Linked DNA regions of Anolis sagrei. The protein of the gene in region 1 interacts with the protein of each later gene in a pairwise test. Links are inferred from orthologs where the notes say so. Each region holds a gene or a part of one and is shown on either strand. Other genes may lie near its edges.

What was found.
Region 2: the proteins of ERCC6L2 (region 1) and CYREN interact in binary tests that used the Homo sapiens proteins (3 or more experiments, as listed by UniProt). The two-hybrid records come from large-scale screens. The link is inferred for Anolis sagrei from reciprocal best matches to the Homo sapiens genes ERCC6L2 and CYREN.

The regions. Positions count from the first base shown.
Region 1 is NC_090022.1:231,019,037-231,025,925, reverse strand, and holds the start of ERCC6L2 (DNA excision repair protein ERCC-6-like 2), read right to left. Parts: upstream 3,022-6,889; 5' UTR 2,832-3,021; exon of another isoform or gene 2,798-2,831; intron 1,120-2,797; exon of another isoform or gene 529-1,119; intron 1-528. UniProt on the Homo sapiens protein: Promotes double-strand break (DSB) end-joining and facilitates programmed recombination by controlling how DNA ends are joined in a spatially oriented manner during repair.
Region 2 is NC_090025.1:158,237,119-158,244,535, reverse strand, and holds the start of CYREN (cell cycle regulator of non-homologous end joining), read right to left. Parts: upstream 3,014-7,417; 5' UTR 2,875-3,013; intron 1,334-2,874; 5' UTR 1,324-1,333; coding exon 1,202-1,323; intron 1-1,201. Other genes in the region: WDR91 (WD repeat-containing protein 91), read right to left, coding at 5,439-5,603. UniProt on the Homo sapiens protein: Cell-cycle-specific regulator of classical non-homologous end joining (NHEJ) of DNA double-strand break (DSB) repair, which can act both as an activator or inhibitor of NHEJ, depending on the cell cycle phase.

The sequences.
Region 1 (6,889 bases):
AGCCTTTCTCTTTGTTGGTAATAGATGGCATCCAAAGCTATACTGGGTCTGAACACAGAGGCAACAGAAAACTATAACAAATCCCCTCATCGTTTTATCCCATTTTTTAAAGCTTCTTTTCAATTCAATACCACTTATCTTGTGGGGAGGAATTCTAATAACTCACTATTTATTAAGAAATACAGCATGATACATGAAACCATGGATAAGATGATGTCCAAATCTGTCACTCCTTCCCATCCGTTACTAAGGAGGCTATTCAGTCCTTGAACCAGTGCTGTGTCAGACTGGATGAGGGCTAACAAATTGAAATTGAATCCAGACACGACAGAGGTTCTCCTAGTCAGTCGAAAGGCCAAACAGGACATAGGGTTACAGCCTGTGTTGCATGGGGTTACACTCCCTCTGAAGACACAGGTTCGCAGCTTGGGAGTGATCCTGGATCAGCTGAGCCTGGAACCCCAAGTTTCGGCGGTGGCCGGGAGAGCTTTTGCACAGTTAAAGCTTGTGCACCAGCTGCACCCATACCTTGGCAAGTCTGATCTGGCAACAGTGGTCCACGCTCTTGTTACATCCCGAATAGATTACTGCAACGCACTCTACGTGGGGCTGCTTTTGAAGACTGTTCGGAAACTTCAGCTAGTCCAACAGGCGACAGCCAGATTACTAACTGGAGCGACATACAGGGAGAACACCACCCCCTTGTTGTGTCAGCTCCACTCGCTGCCGATCCACTTCCCAACTCAATTCAAAGTGTTGGTTTTGACCTATACAGCTCTATACAGTTCTGGCCCAGCTTACTTGTCTGGATGCATCTCTCTCTATGTCCCGCCTTGAAGTTTATCTGGGGAGACCCTGCTCTCGCTCCCCCCCCAGCATCGCAAATACATCTTGCGGGAACAAGAGACAGGGCCTTCTCGGCTGTATCCCCTCGCCTGTGGAACTCGCTTCCCAACAAGGTAAGATCGGCTTCATCCCTCCTGTCTTTTAGGAAGAAATTGAAGTCATGGTTTTGGGACCAGACTTTTGGACAGCAGGCATAAATAGTGCTTTGGATATGGAATTTGACTGGAATGGTGATACAGTGGTTAATACTGTTTTATTGTTTCAATTAATGTTCTATTTATTGTTTTAATTGTTGTTGTATTGCTTTGTTATATTTAATGGCACCAAATTGTGCCAAATGTAAGCCACCCTGAGTCCCCCTTCGGGGGTTGAATAACTAAATAAATAAGAAATCCTATTGGACTTCTGGCCAAAGAAGACCATAAAATCTCACTCTGAGTGGACATGTTTTCTTGGAAGTAAATCAAAGCAGTCACAGATACTGGTCCACCACTGAATATGGTGGCTGTACAGTTAACTGGAACTCTCAATCAACTGACAAGAACTGGGTTGCTTTGAGTTTTCCAGGCTGTATGGCCATGTTCCAGAAGCATTCTTTCCTGACGTTCTGCTTGCATTTATGGCAGGCATCCTCAGAGGTTGTGAGGTCTGTTGGAAATTGGGCAAGTGGGATTTATATATCTTTGGAATAATGTACAGAGTGGGAGAAAAAACCCTTGCCTGTTTGAGGCAAGTGTCACAACAACCCAGTGATTCCAGCCAAGACAGCCTTAGACAACAAACTGGCCAAGATTGCATAGTGGATTCACAAAACTGTTTTTATAAGACAATAGGATTGTGAAATTAAAATTAAATTTGTCTTGCAATTGTTAACTGTATTCCAATATTGATATCAAGTCAATATAGTATTTCTGGTATGGGGTATAGCATTAGTTGGATCTAATTTTGAAAAATGTGGCTTGTTGAGGAAACAAGGATTGGTGATAAAGCTTCAGGGGAAACACCTTTTTCCCCATAATAATAACTCTTTCAGGAGTGAAGTTCCCTCCCAAGGGGTAGATTTCACTCACTTCCTGTTGTCTCACCTCTGTTCTTCAGTAGGAGTTGTTCGAAAGTTGGATGTTTGTAACTCAGGGACTGCCTGTATGTGGGAATTACTTTCTAAAATATTTCCAACCAGTGGTTGATCGAACCCACGGATGCAGAACCTACGGAGGATGGACTGCGGACCTTTGGTATCCATTTGGATTTCGTTCCAGGACTCCTTGAGGATACCACAATCTGTGGATGCTCATATCCCATTATATATACCAGGCTTGGGCCAATTCGGGCCCTCCCTCTAGAGGTTTGGGACTTCAACTCCCATCATTCCTAACAGCCTCAGGCCCCTTCCTTTTCCCCCTCAGCCGCTTAGGAATGATGGGAGTTGAAGTCCCAAACACCTGGAGGGAGGGCCCAAATTGGCCCATGCCTGTGTTAGAGCCAAACTTGACTCCCTGGCATGTAATTAAACTGTGTCTATTTGAAATTAAGGAAAAGAAGGCAAAAATTAAAGAGTAAACACCACAGATGAACTGAGGCGATGACTGCTAATGAAGCGCCTTTCCCTATATAGCAGAATCTCTTGCATGTTAACCCAGGGAGCATCTACACTGTAGAATTAATGCAGTTTGACACCACTTAAACTGCCATGGCTCAGGGATTTGCAGTTTGCACTCTTTAGAAAAAACTAAAAGTCAGACAAACCCCAGAATTCCCCAGTATTGAGCCATGGCAGTTAAAAGTGGTGCCAAAGTGGTGCAGATACACCCATAAGGGAAAACCCAGGGATGGAAAGGCCTGTGAGCGAGGCTTAAACTGGAGATCAAACAGATCAAAGGCAGGAAAAGGAAAGGGAGAAGACCCCTCTGCTGCCTGGCTCCCGCGCAAACCCGCGCACGCGCAGACCCACCCCGCGCGCGAGCCCACGGCCGCCGCTTCCGAACCTTCCGGGATTTTAGCCCCAGCCCCGCTTGCCTTCAGTCAGCTGTCGGCGAATTCTCGCGAGAGCTGTGATCTCCACGGGAATCCAGAGCTGCTTTCGCCACATAGACTCTTACGGAGCGTTAGAGGATGGGCGCCATTTTTGTTCTCTCTCACACCTTCCAAGAGAGAAATGCGCGGAAACGTCAGTTGAAAATACTAGCGTTTCCCCGTACGTTGGGGCCAGGAAACCGCCTGTATCCTTTTCCAGCCGTCTCCACAAAAATAACGACAGCGATACGTTCCTATTCTTGGTTCTTAGCCTTGTGATTCTTAACTTCCATTCGCTCTATAGACATGAAACGTGATATCGCGAGAACGTGATCAAATCCCGCGATACAGTAACTGGATTCTCTGTTCTAATTTATGTTGATTGCTTGAGTTAATGCCAGGCCTGGGCCAGCTTGGGCCCTTTGAGTGTTTTCATAGAATCACAGAGTGAGGGGCAACATTGTAATAAAGCATAAACATTTCATAGAATCAAAGAGTTGGAAGAGACCTCATGGGCCATCCAGTCCAACCCCCTGCCAAGAAACAGGAAAATTGCATTCAAAGCACCCCCGACAGATGGCCATCCAGCCTCTGTTGGAAAGCTTCCAAAGAAGGAGCCTCCACCACACTCTGGGGCAGAGAGTTCCACTGCTGGACAGCTCTCACAGGAACTTCTTCCTCATATTCAGATGGAATTCTCCTTTCTTGTAGTTTGAAGCAATTGTTCCACATCCTAGTCTCCAGGGCAGCAGAAAACAAGCTTGCTCCCTCCTCCCTATGATTTCCTCTCACGTATTTATACATGGCTATCATGTCTCCTCTCAGCCTTCTCTTCTTCAGGCTAAACATGCCCAGCTCTTTAAGCTGTTCCTCATAGGGCTTGTTCTCCAGACCCTTGATCATTTCAGTCACCCTCCTCTGGACACATTCCAGCTGAGAGTCAACATCTTCCTTCAATTGCAATGCCCAGAATTAGACACAATATTCCTGGTGTTGTCTAACCAAGGCAGAATAGAGGGCTAGCATGACTTCCCTGGGTCTAGACACTATACTATTGATGCAGGCCAAAATCCCATTGGGTTTTTTTGCTGCCGCATCACATTTTGGACTTCAACTCCCACAATTCCTAACAGCCACAGGCCCCTTCCTTTTCCCTCTCGGACACTTAAAAGGAAAGGGCCTGAGGCTGCTAGGAATGGTGGGAGTTGAAGTCCAAAACACCTGGAAGGCCCAAATTTGCCCATGCTTGGTTAATACTTGTCATTTCTCTATGACAAGTAGGCTTGTCATAGAGAAATTCAACTGTTTTAGTCAAATTTATCCGTTTGCTTAGAATATACCTACACTGTAGAATTAATGCAGTTTGATACTACTTTAACTTCCATGGCTCAGTGCTGGGGAATTCTGGAGAATTGTGGTTCTGTCGGCCTTATCTGCCAAAGAGTACAGACTGAGGGTCCTTCCACACAGTCCTATATCAAGGCAGAAATCCCACATTATCTAAGTGTGGACTCAGATAACTCAGTTCAAAGCAGATAATTTGCCTTGATATTCTGGGATATAGGGCTGTGGAAGGGCCCTAAGTACTAGGCTTCCATAGCATTGAGCCAGGCCAGTTAAAGTGGTGTCAAACTGCATTGATTCTGCAGAGTAGATGTACCCATGGCTTCCTCCATCACCTCACTCTCAGCATCCACCTTCTCACTAGAAGACAGTTATTTAAAAGCAATGTTTTTGGATTTGGAAAGAGTAGCCGTTTATGAGAAACGTTGCCTGGGGGACGCACGAATGTATTCACTCAGTAGAAGACAGTCAGCTAAACTGAATGTGGCTTGCTCCATTTCTTGGGGCCCTTCCACGCAGCCCTAAATCCCAAAATATTAAGGAAGAAAATCCTACATTATCTGCTTTGTACTGGGTTATCTGAGTCCACGCTCAGATAATGTGGGATTTTCTTCCTTGATATCCTGGGTTAATAGGGCTGTGTGGAAGGGTTCCCAGGTTATTTGGGATTTTCTACCTTGATATTCTGGGATATAGGGCTGTGTGGAAGGGCCCTCGGTGTTAATGACAAAGAAAAGTCCCCTAATTTCACTTTAATCTGGGAGCAGTCTTGATTTCCAAACAGGGAAATGCATCCATAATTCCCACCAAATCAATGCCTGAAATTATTTTTTAAAAAATCCAAAATGCTAACTTTATTTATTCTTTATTTATTTATTTTGGGCTTTTATATCCCATCCTATCTCAACCTCCAATTTGGAAAGCCTTCACAATCCACTGTGCATCTCCATCCACCACAAAACACACCTCTACATGTTCACTCAGAAATGTCAATGTGAGCAGCATAGCACACACAACCAATTTATACAAGTCTATTTAGGCATGAGAAGGATAAATTTACATGGGTAAGCATGGCAGCAAGTTCTGCAAGCATTCATAATCGATTTCTTTGCCTGTAGTGATAACAGCGACCCACACTAATCAACACACTCATATAAAAAACTGTACATACCAACCATCTCAGATGCAAAAACCCTATTCGCACTAATATAAAGCCACTCACACATAAGGGAGGTCTCTGTGGTTCCCTTCTCACCCTCACACTGACTTCCCACCCTGCATAGTTTCCCTCTCCCCCTTATTGTTCCCCCACATATTCACTCACCTCAGTCTCAACTGAATGAAATGGACAGGATACCAGGAATTTTGACAATGCACTGGAAATTACAAGAGGATACCATATACATCTTACAGAAGGTGATTTTTAATGAATGCCCAGCGTTGTCTGCCTTCTCTGCTATCTTATAGTAATATTCTGCGCATACACAGGCATAAGTCATGCTCAGCACTTCCCCCAGCAAAGAAGGAAGCAAAAAGGTGGAGTGGGTTGCAGGGGAAACAAGTGCAGTGCACTGTCACACTCCACTGAATTTCAAGCTTTGATTAAGATCAGGAAACCAGAAGAGACACAGAGGATGCTGTTCCCGTCACCCATAATAATAGGACACAGGCCTGTAGCGGGGGGGGGGGGGGGGGGTTAGGGGTTCAACCCCCCCCCCCCCAATTTTTCAGGTTAAAAAAAAAACCTGGTTTACTCATGAATTTTAACTGGTTAACCAAATCCCCATGCTAAGTCTATGGGACACAGAAAATTAAGAGTCCCTCCAGAACTGCAAGCACTATCTCAAAGAAATATCGACAATTTATTCACATTGTCATTACTTGCAGCAATAGCCGATGTAGCGAAGCAACCAAGTTTGGGGGGGGGGGGGGTGTTAGATTTGAAGGCCCTCATGAAGGAGACCAGACTTGGTGGGGGTGGTTGAAAGGGGTGGAGCTGCAGGCTACTGAAGGCTGCTCTGCCCCTGCTGTGCTCTTTGCTTCAGCGTGAGCTAAGAAGCAGGTTTTAACCCCCCTCCCCGAAATTTTCAACCCACCCACCCCCCCCCCCCCGAAATTTTCAAAACTCCCCGAAATTTTTTTCTGGCTACAGCCCTGATAGGACACCTTTTTATTTAACAGGAGCAAGACCTGTTGAGTACAATAAGGCCTAACTCAGTTCCAACTAAACGTGCATATAAGGTGGAAGTAATGAAGTTGTTGGAGTGCAGCTCCCATCATGCTGGGAGAGGCAATCCAACCATATTTGGCAATGTTCATCATACCTACCACTGGTATATAAAATTCCAATTACTTGTTAGCTTAAGCATAGGAAGAAAATGACAAGTGCTAATAACATCCAGGTAATTTCCATAGCTATGTTTTCAAATCTTTACCTTTCTGAAGAGGAGACAAACTTGTGTTTATTTTGTAAATTTTTCTGCTGGCTTGCAATCCTTTTCTTCAACACTACATCCTGGTTGAACCGACATAATCTAGCTTTCCATATGCCACATGATGGATGCATCAAGAGTGTCCTGCTGGAGTCCAGTTCCCATTACCCTTCTCCATCAGAGCTAACAAGGAGCAATGCCCCCTTCCAAAAAAAATAAAAATAAATAGGAAGTCTTCACAATTGTCATTCCTG
Region 2 (7,417 bases), on another chromosome or scaffold:
GTACAAATTTTATTCCGATCTCACAACAATCAAAATCTCCCATAAGCTTTAAGAAATGGGAGGAGCAGTAGATACAGTCAACTATTTCCTTCAGCTGGATGTATTTCGACAGGCATCCTTCGGGACCTCATGAGGTCTTTGTGTGACCTCTGCTGGTGATGTTATTGATGTTTGCCCAGCTAAGTGACAATAGCTGGATGCATTCTCTCAGTTCACATATGAGCCTTTATGTGACCTGTAGACTTATGAAGGCTCCATGAATTCCATAAGGCATGGAATACTGAGAGGTGGTTTTGCCAGTTCCTTTCTCTAAAACAGGCATGGGCAAACTTCAGCCCTCCAGGTGTTTTGGACTTCAACTCCCACAATTCCTAACAGCCGGTAGGCTGATCAATGAAATAGCTTCAAGGAAATAGCTAGATGTATCTACTACTCCTCCCATTTCTTAATGCTTAAGGGAGATTTTGATTGTTGTGCGGTCAGAATAGAATTTGTACCTTCATGGTACCCCCCCCAAAGGTCACAATGATGCAAGTTGTGTTGGAGCATGCAAGGATTCGGTTAATGCATGCATGTCAACTATAAAATAAGATGCATTAATCTGATTGGTTGGGCAATACCTGGGAAGATGGCTGAGCCCGGGACTTTTGGATACTGTTGCATTGTTGTTCAGGCTTGAGCTATGCAGGTGCTCAGGGAGAGAAGAAAAGAGAAGCAGAGAGAGACAGAGTTTGGAGTATGCTCTTGTTTCAGGAGCTGTTAGGAATTGTGGAAGTTGAAGTCCAAAACACCTGGAGGGCCGAAGTTTTCCCATGCCTATTCTAAAATATAGTCTACAGAAACTGGAATTCTCTACCAACACTGGAATAGCCATAGGCTGTCACAGAGGACTCAACCACAAATATCTATCTATCTATTTTAAAATGTTCTGGCGTTGAAGATTTGTGAATGAAAACATAGATGAAATTGGACTGGGTCATCATTTCAGAGTTAAAAGCCTTAGTGGCTCACCACAGGATAGCCAGCCGGCAAATTGGGATCTATAGAGTCATATGCCACCGCTTAATAAAGACCCTCTTAAGCCCGCCATACAGCCATTCCAAGGTTTGTGGAGAGTCTGGACATATGCCGAGTACAAATACTTTTTTAAAAATTGAAGGTCAAAGGTCTGCTGAGTTCCTAGGATTGAAAAATGCCTCACCCCAATGAAGTTGATTTCTTCCTCCTCTTTGGTTTGATTTCTGCTTCTTGTCCTGACTCAGTTGCCCGTTTTGTCATCCACATTGGGAGGATCCTCTTCTTAGCTGCTTCTGGAGATCCCATTTCCTCCTTACTCAAGAAGGATAGCATCAAGGGAAAATTAGTAGTACAGGGATGTAGGGATAACAAGAGAAGAAGAAGAAAAAGAGAAGCTAAAGAGAAGACAAGACATAAAGGGAAGTCAAGGGAGGAGGAAGCAAGCTTGTTTTCTGCTGCTCTGGAGACTAGGACGCAGAACAATGGCTTCAAACTACAGGAAAGGAGATTCCATTTAAATATTAGGAAGAAATTCCTAATTGTGTGAGCTGTTCAGCAGTGGAACTCTCTGCCCCAGAGTGTGGTGGAGGCTCCTTCTTTTGAGGCTTTTAAACAAAGGCTGGATGGCCATCTGTTGGGGTTGCTTTAAATGTGATTTTCTTGCTTCTTGGCAGGGGGTTGGACTGGATGGCCCATGAGGTCTCTCAACTCTATGATTCTATGATTCAGCTAGCGACAAGAATAACAGCATCTCTAATGATATTCAACGGATCTATCAGAAATGAAAAGTTATAGATTTTTTTTTTATTATGAAGAAGACAGCAGAGACAGGGTCAGAAGCGTTAGGGCTTTCTATTTTCCATTTCTCAATTTTTCTATATCCTTTGTTTCAAAACACTGTACAACCACTTTTCTATCCTTCTGTTTTAAATAGAAAAAAATACTCTTTTTGCTATATTTTCTTTTTTAACATCATAGAGACCTTTTAGTATTAGATAATAATGGAAGAAGGTAACTTAAGCGGCTGAGGGGGGGAAATGAATGGGCCTGAGGCCAGGAATTGTAGGAGTTGAAGTCCAAAACACCTGGAGGGTCAAAATTTGCCCATGCCTGATCTACACTGTAGAGTTGATGCAGTATGACATTACATCTCAATGCAACAGAATTATGGTGTTTGTAGTTTGGAGCCCCTGGTGGCACAGTGGGTTAAACCTCTGAACTTGCTAACCAAAAGGTCACAGGTTCAAATCCGGGGAGCGGTGCTTCTGCCAACCTAGCAGTTCAAAAACATGAGTAGATCAATAGGTACTGCTCTGGTGGGAAGGTAACGGCGCTCCATGCAGTCATGCTGGCCACATGACTTTGGAGGTGTCTACGGACAATGCTGGCTCTTCGGCTTTGTAATGGAGATGAGCACCAACCCCCAGAGTTGGACACGACTGGACTTAATGTCAGGGGAAAACCTTTACCTTTACCTTAGTTTGGTAAGACACCAACAGTCTTTGCTAGAGAAGGGTAAAGGCCTTGTAAAACTACAACTCTCATAATTCAATTGCCTTGGTAGTCAAAAGGGTGTCAAACTGCATTTATTCTACAGTGTAGATACACCCTCAGTGGGAGAAAGGAGTGCTGTAAATGACGGAAGTGCACTGAAGTTTTGAGCAAAGGTTTCTCACATCTCCATCCAAGCTGCAGATTCCACGATTAAAAGGGGCATGAAACTGATTTAATTGCATAGTGTTGATATACCCAAAGAATCAGCTACCCTTTCAACCCCATCATGAACAAACCCAAGAATAAGTAAAACCCCTGTTGGTTTGCTTTACCAAAACTCTAAACAATGATTTGCTTCCTTACCTGCTCTGTGCAATCACAAATGTTTGCCTCGTTCACCCATTCCAACCCACGTTGCAATTTTGGTGCAGGACTTCTCTCCAAACGTTAAAAGGAAGTAGCAAGCAGCCATCTCTGTGACGTCACGAGGGCTCCTCCCCCTCTGTCCCCCATTGGCTGGGAACTCAAGTTCTCACTCAAGTTCAAGGAGGAGCAAGCAATTCAAAACAAGGCATTAGCCCACTGACTGGCTTTTAACTACAGCTCCCAGAATCTTCCAGCAAGCACTGCCACTGGGAATTGTAGTTCCAAAAAAGTAATAGCCTCCAGCCGAATGACCAAATCTAAACTAACTGCAGGCGAAGAGATATTCATGAGATGTATGGAGTGGAGTCATGTACCAAATTGCAAATAATAACCAAAATGACCAAAAATTGAATATGATGTGAACTTTCAAGTCATTTCTGCCAGATTAATCCCAGAAAATTCAATCAGTACTTAAAGTTTGTTATGTTAGGCAAGTTAGATGCATCATTGGCGGGGTTCAGTGTGCCCTCTAGCTGTAGGATAAACTACAACTCCCACTACAGTGAGTAAAGTCCCCTCAAACCCCTCCAGTAGGTTGAGTTAGTCATGCGGGTTCTGTGTGCCAAGTTTGGTCCAAGTCCATAATCGGTGGAAGTCACAGTTTCTCTGGTCATGGGTGAACTATAACTCCCAGAAATGAAGGTGAGTTCCCCTCAAACCCCTCCAGTAATCAAATTTTGGCATATCAGGTAATGGGGGCTGTTTGCCAAATTAGGTCCAGTTCAATCTCTGGTGGAGTTCAGAGTGCTCATTGATTGTAGGTGAACTATAAATCCCAGTACCTACAACTCCAAAACGTCCAGGCCAATTCCCCTCAAAACCCACCAGTATTCAGATTTGGGCATATTGAGTATGCATGCCAAATTTGGTCCAGATCCATCATTGTTTGGGTTTCTAGTGCTCTCTGGATGTAGGTGAACTACAATTCCTATCAATCCCTCCAAAGACCTCCAGTATGTTTTGTTGGTCATAGGGGTTCTGTGTGCCAAAGTAGTTCCAGATCCATTGTCGGTGAGTTCAGAGTGCGCTTCTTAGATTGCAGGTGAACTATACATCCCAGTACCTACAACTCCTATAATTCATGAATTCTCCCCAAATCTCTCTAATGTGTTCAGTTGCTGATCAATTCCTCTGTTTGCTGTGTGCCACAGAAAATAATAAGAAAAGGTTATGGGAGAGGCAGTGGGTGGGGTCATGCAAATTCCACACCAATGAGAAGCAGAAATACTGGGATGCCTGTGGTGGAGGAAACACATAAAATCTAGGATGAAATTGTCCCCGTATGAAAGCTTTCACTTGGGTGGTGGGCAGTATGGTGTTGGAGGAAGACATTGGCAGGGCTCTTGTACATGTTAATGACACTCACCATAACCTGCAATGTCATTGGAGGGAGGGCTATTGGTGTCTCCTGAGAAGTGAGGGGACAGGAGCTTGTCTGTGTAAGTGGACAGCTCAGCCACATACACACATACATATTTTCACTTTTATGATGTGTATAGATAGATCTGGAATCAATTATTTTGTGCATATGATGCTCACTTGGTTTTCCATAAGGCAGTTTCTCACATTCAACAACACCTGGATGACCACATGTCCCTCGGCCCTACCCTAGTAGACTCTCAGCACAGGTCATGCCTTATTGAACTCCTAGGTTAAGGTAAAGGTTTTCCCCTGACATTCGTGTCCAGTCGTGTCCAGCTCTGGGGGGTGGTGCTCATCTCCATTTCTAAGTCGAAGAGCCGGCATTGTCCATAGACACCTCCAAGGTCGTGTGGCTGGCATGACTGCATGGAGCGCCGGAGTGGTACCTATTGATCTACGCACATTTGCATGTTTTTGAACTGCTAGGTTGGCAGAAGCTGCGGCTAATAGCGGGAGCTCACCCTGCTCTCCAGATTCGAACCTGCAACCTTTTGGTCAGCAAGTTCAGCAGCTCAGCGCTTTAACCCACTGTGCCACCGAGGGCTCCACTTAGCTGCTGCACAGACGTTTCATAGTGATAGAAACAACGCAGATGCCAAATGCAGTCCAATATTTATTTTCATAAGAAATGCAGGAACAGACAGAATACTGCTGGGCTTCCCTGCCCCCTTTGCTGGAACCAATGCAAATCTGCACCCACCTCTCAAAATAGTCCTGGAGCGTTATGTCCACGTAGTTCGGCAGGCCCAAGGGGGAAAAAATCTTTCTTTCTCTTTCTTTCTTTCTTTCTCTTTCTGTGTTGGTCCTCTTCAAAAGGAGTTTGGGATCAGTGCATGCCTGATAAGAGCATCCCTTATTTGAGGGAACTACTGTAACTGAAACTCTTAACTGGCAGTGGTTTGGCATCAACATCTTTTTTGTAAAAAGGTTTCTGACCTAGAGGGAAAGCAACGTTAAGACAAGTGGTTGGATTGCTCTTTCCTCTCTGCAGCTGCTTGATTCTAAATGGTTAATACTGGTCGACTCCTGATTCCCACCCCAAGTCCGTATCTTGTGCTTTCCTAGCACTGCAGTCTCCCTTAAGACTTCTGTGCCAGAAGAGTGGTTAGTTTGATCTTCCCATCCATAGAGGCTGTCAGGCAGGTCCCACAATCCATAGCTGTGCACCAGTCCACTGTGACCACCGGGGCCCTGTGACCGCCGAGGGAGAGGCAGCTCTCCAGGACCTTGTTATTGCTATTCAGCTGGAAGAGAAGGAAAGACAGACATAAGTCAAAATGTATCTAAAATATTTGGCCACCTTGATTTTTACTTTTGCCCAAGACAGTAGGCAAGAGAACCACCATGCTGGATGAAACCAATGGCCTTTTATGACGGACCCAAATCATGCAACTAATCAAATGAAACTGGACTGCATCTCCCAGCATCCCTTGCAATTGATTATACTACTTAGAGCTGTTTGGAATGGCATTGCAAACATATCTAGAGTGTTAGACAATTCACACCTCTGGTTTATGCAGTCCAATATTCTGTTCCCACTGGGGCCACCAAAATGCCTTGGGAAAGCCACAAGCAGGATGTCTTTATTATTTAATTATATGTATAGTAACATGGTGTGTGTGTATGTGTGTGTATATATGTGTGTGTGTGTGTGTGTGTGTATACACACATATATGGAGCCCCTGGTGGCGCAATGGGTTAAAGCACTGAGCTGCTGTGCTTGTTGACCGAAAGGTCGCAGGTTCGATTCCGGGTAGCTGTCAGCCCTAGCTTCTGCCAACCTAGCAGTTCAAAAACATACAGATGTGAGTAGATCAATAGGTACCGCTCCAGCAGGAACTTAACGGCGCTCCATGCAGTCATGCCAGCCACATGACCTTGGAGGTGTCTATGGACAACGCCAGCTCTTCGGCTTAGAAATGGAGATGAGCACCACACCCCAGAGTCGGACATGACTGGATTTAATGTCAGGGGACAACGTTTACCTTTACCTTTACACACACACACACACACACACACTTTAATCTTTAGAGTGGGAAGAATCAAGCTATTAAACCAATAAAAACATTCACATCAAAAGTTCAGTTAAACAGACAGAACAGACAACAAATAGAGGAATTATGCCTGCATTTTTCTAACTTTGGCGTCCTGGAGATTGTGCTCGATTCCAGCCACAGGGTGCTGCTGCTGCTGCTCCATCCTCTACAACAAAGAGCCCTTGATCACAGACTTCCTCCTTCCTTTGATGGCTGGCATTTTCTAGTATTTCCTTTATGGTGGCGTAAAATGCCTCCTTGCTTAAGCGGTGCCTAATTTCTCTACTCAAAGCTCACGGCTGTTTTCAAACTGCTTAGGTGGACAGTAAGCTGGGCTAAAGGCCGGGTGCTCAGCCTGACCCAGGCTTCAAATTGCCAACCTTTTGATTGGTAAGATCTATTGCTGGTGGTGATTAAAGCCCGGCCTGTTCATATTATACTATATTGTTCATATTATATTGTATCCTCACAGTTTTTGCAATATATATGCTAAGGTTTTGTGTCTTTACAGCAAAGCGGCCATGCAATTCTGGCCTTTCTAAACTTTCTCATAATGTAATGCTCTGGAGTGCCAAATAAAAAGCAAATTTATCTGGAGCTATGTTAAATGTTCCATAGCACTGCAGCATTTGGCTTCAATAAGAAGCTGTGTGGCCCTGCAAAACAAGGCTGCAGGGTAGAGTGGGGGAAATCAATAAGCATGCACACCAGCGATACCTCCAGTTTAACAAAGTAAGCCCAGCAGCAGTGCTAGACCAAGAATCAGACAAGACTGGCAATGGCTCTAGTTTTGTTTATGTTTTAGGGGTTTGGAAACGATCAAAGGTTAGAGTTCTACACTGGCTTACTTTAAAAAAAAAAAAAACATTTTTGCCCAAATGTCCTAAAAGACCCTCTGAAGGCACCACACATGCATAAATCCCAGGCAGTCTTAGGCCTAGGAGAGACCTTGATGACAGCAGGAAGTGACCCAGAAACTGTTAGAAATGGTTAAATTGCTCCTATGCCTCCAGATGTCGTTT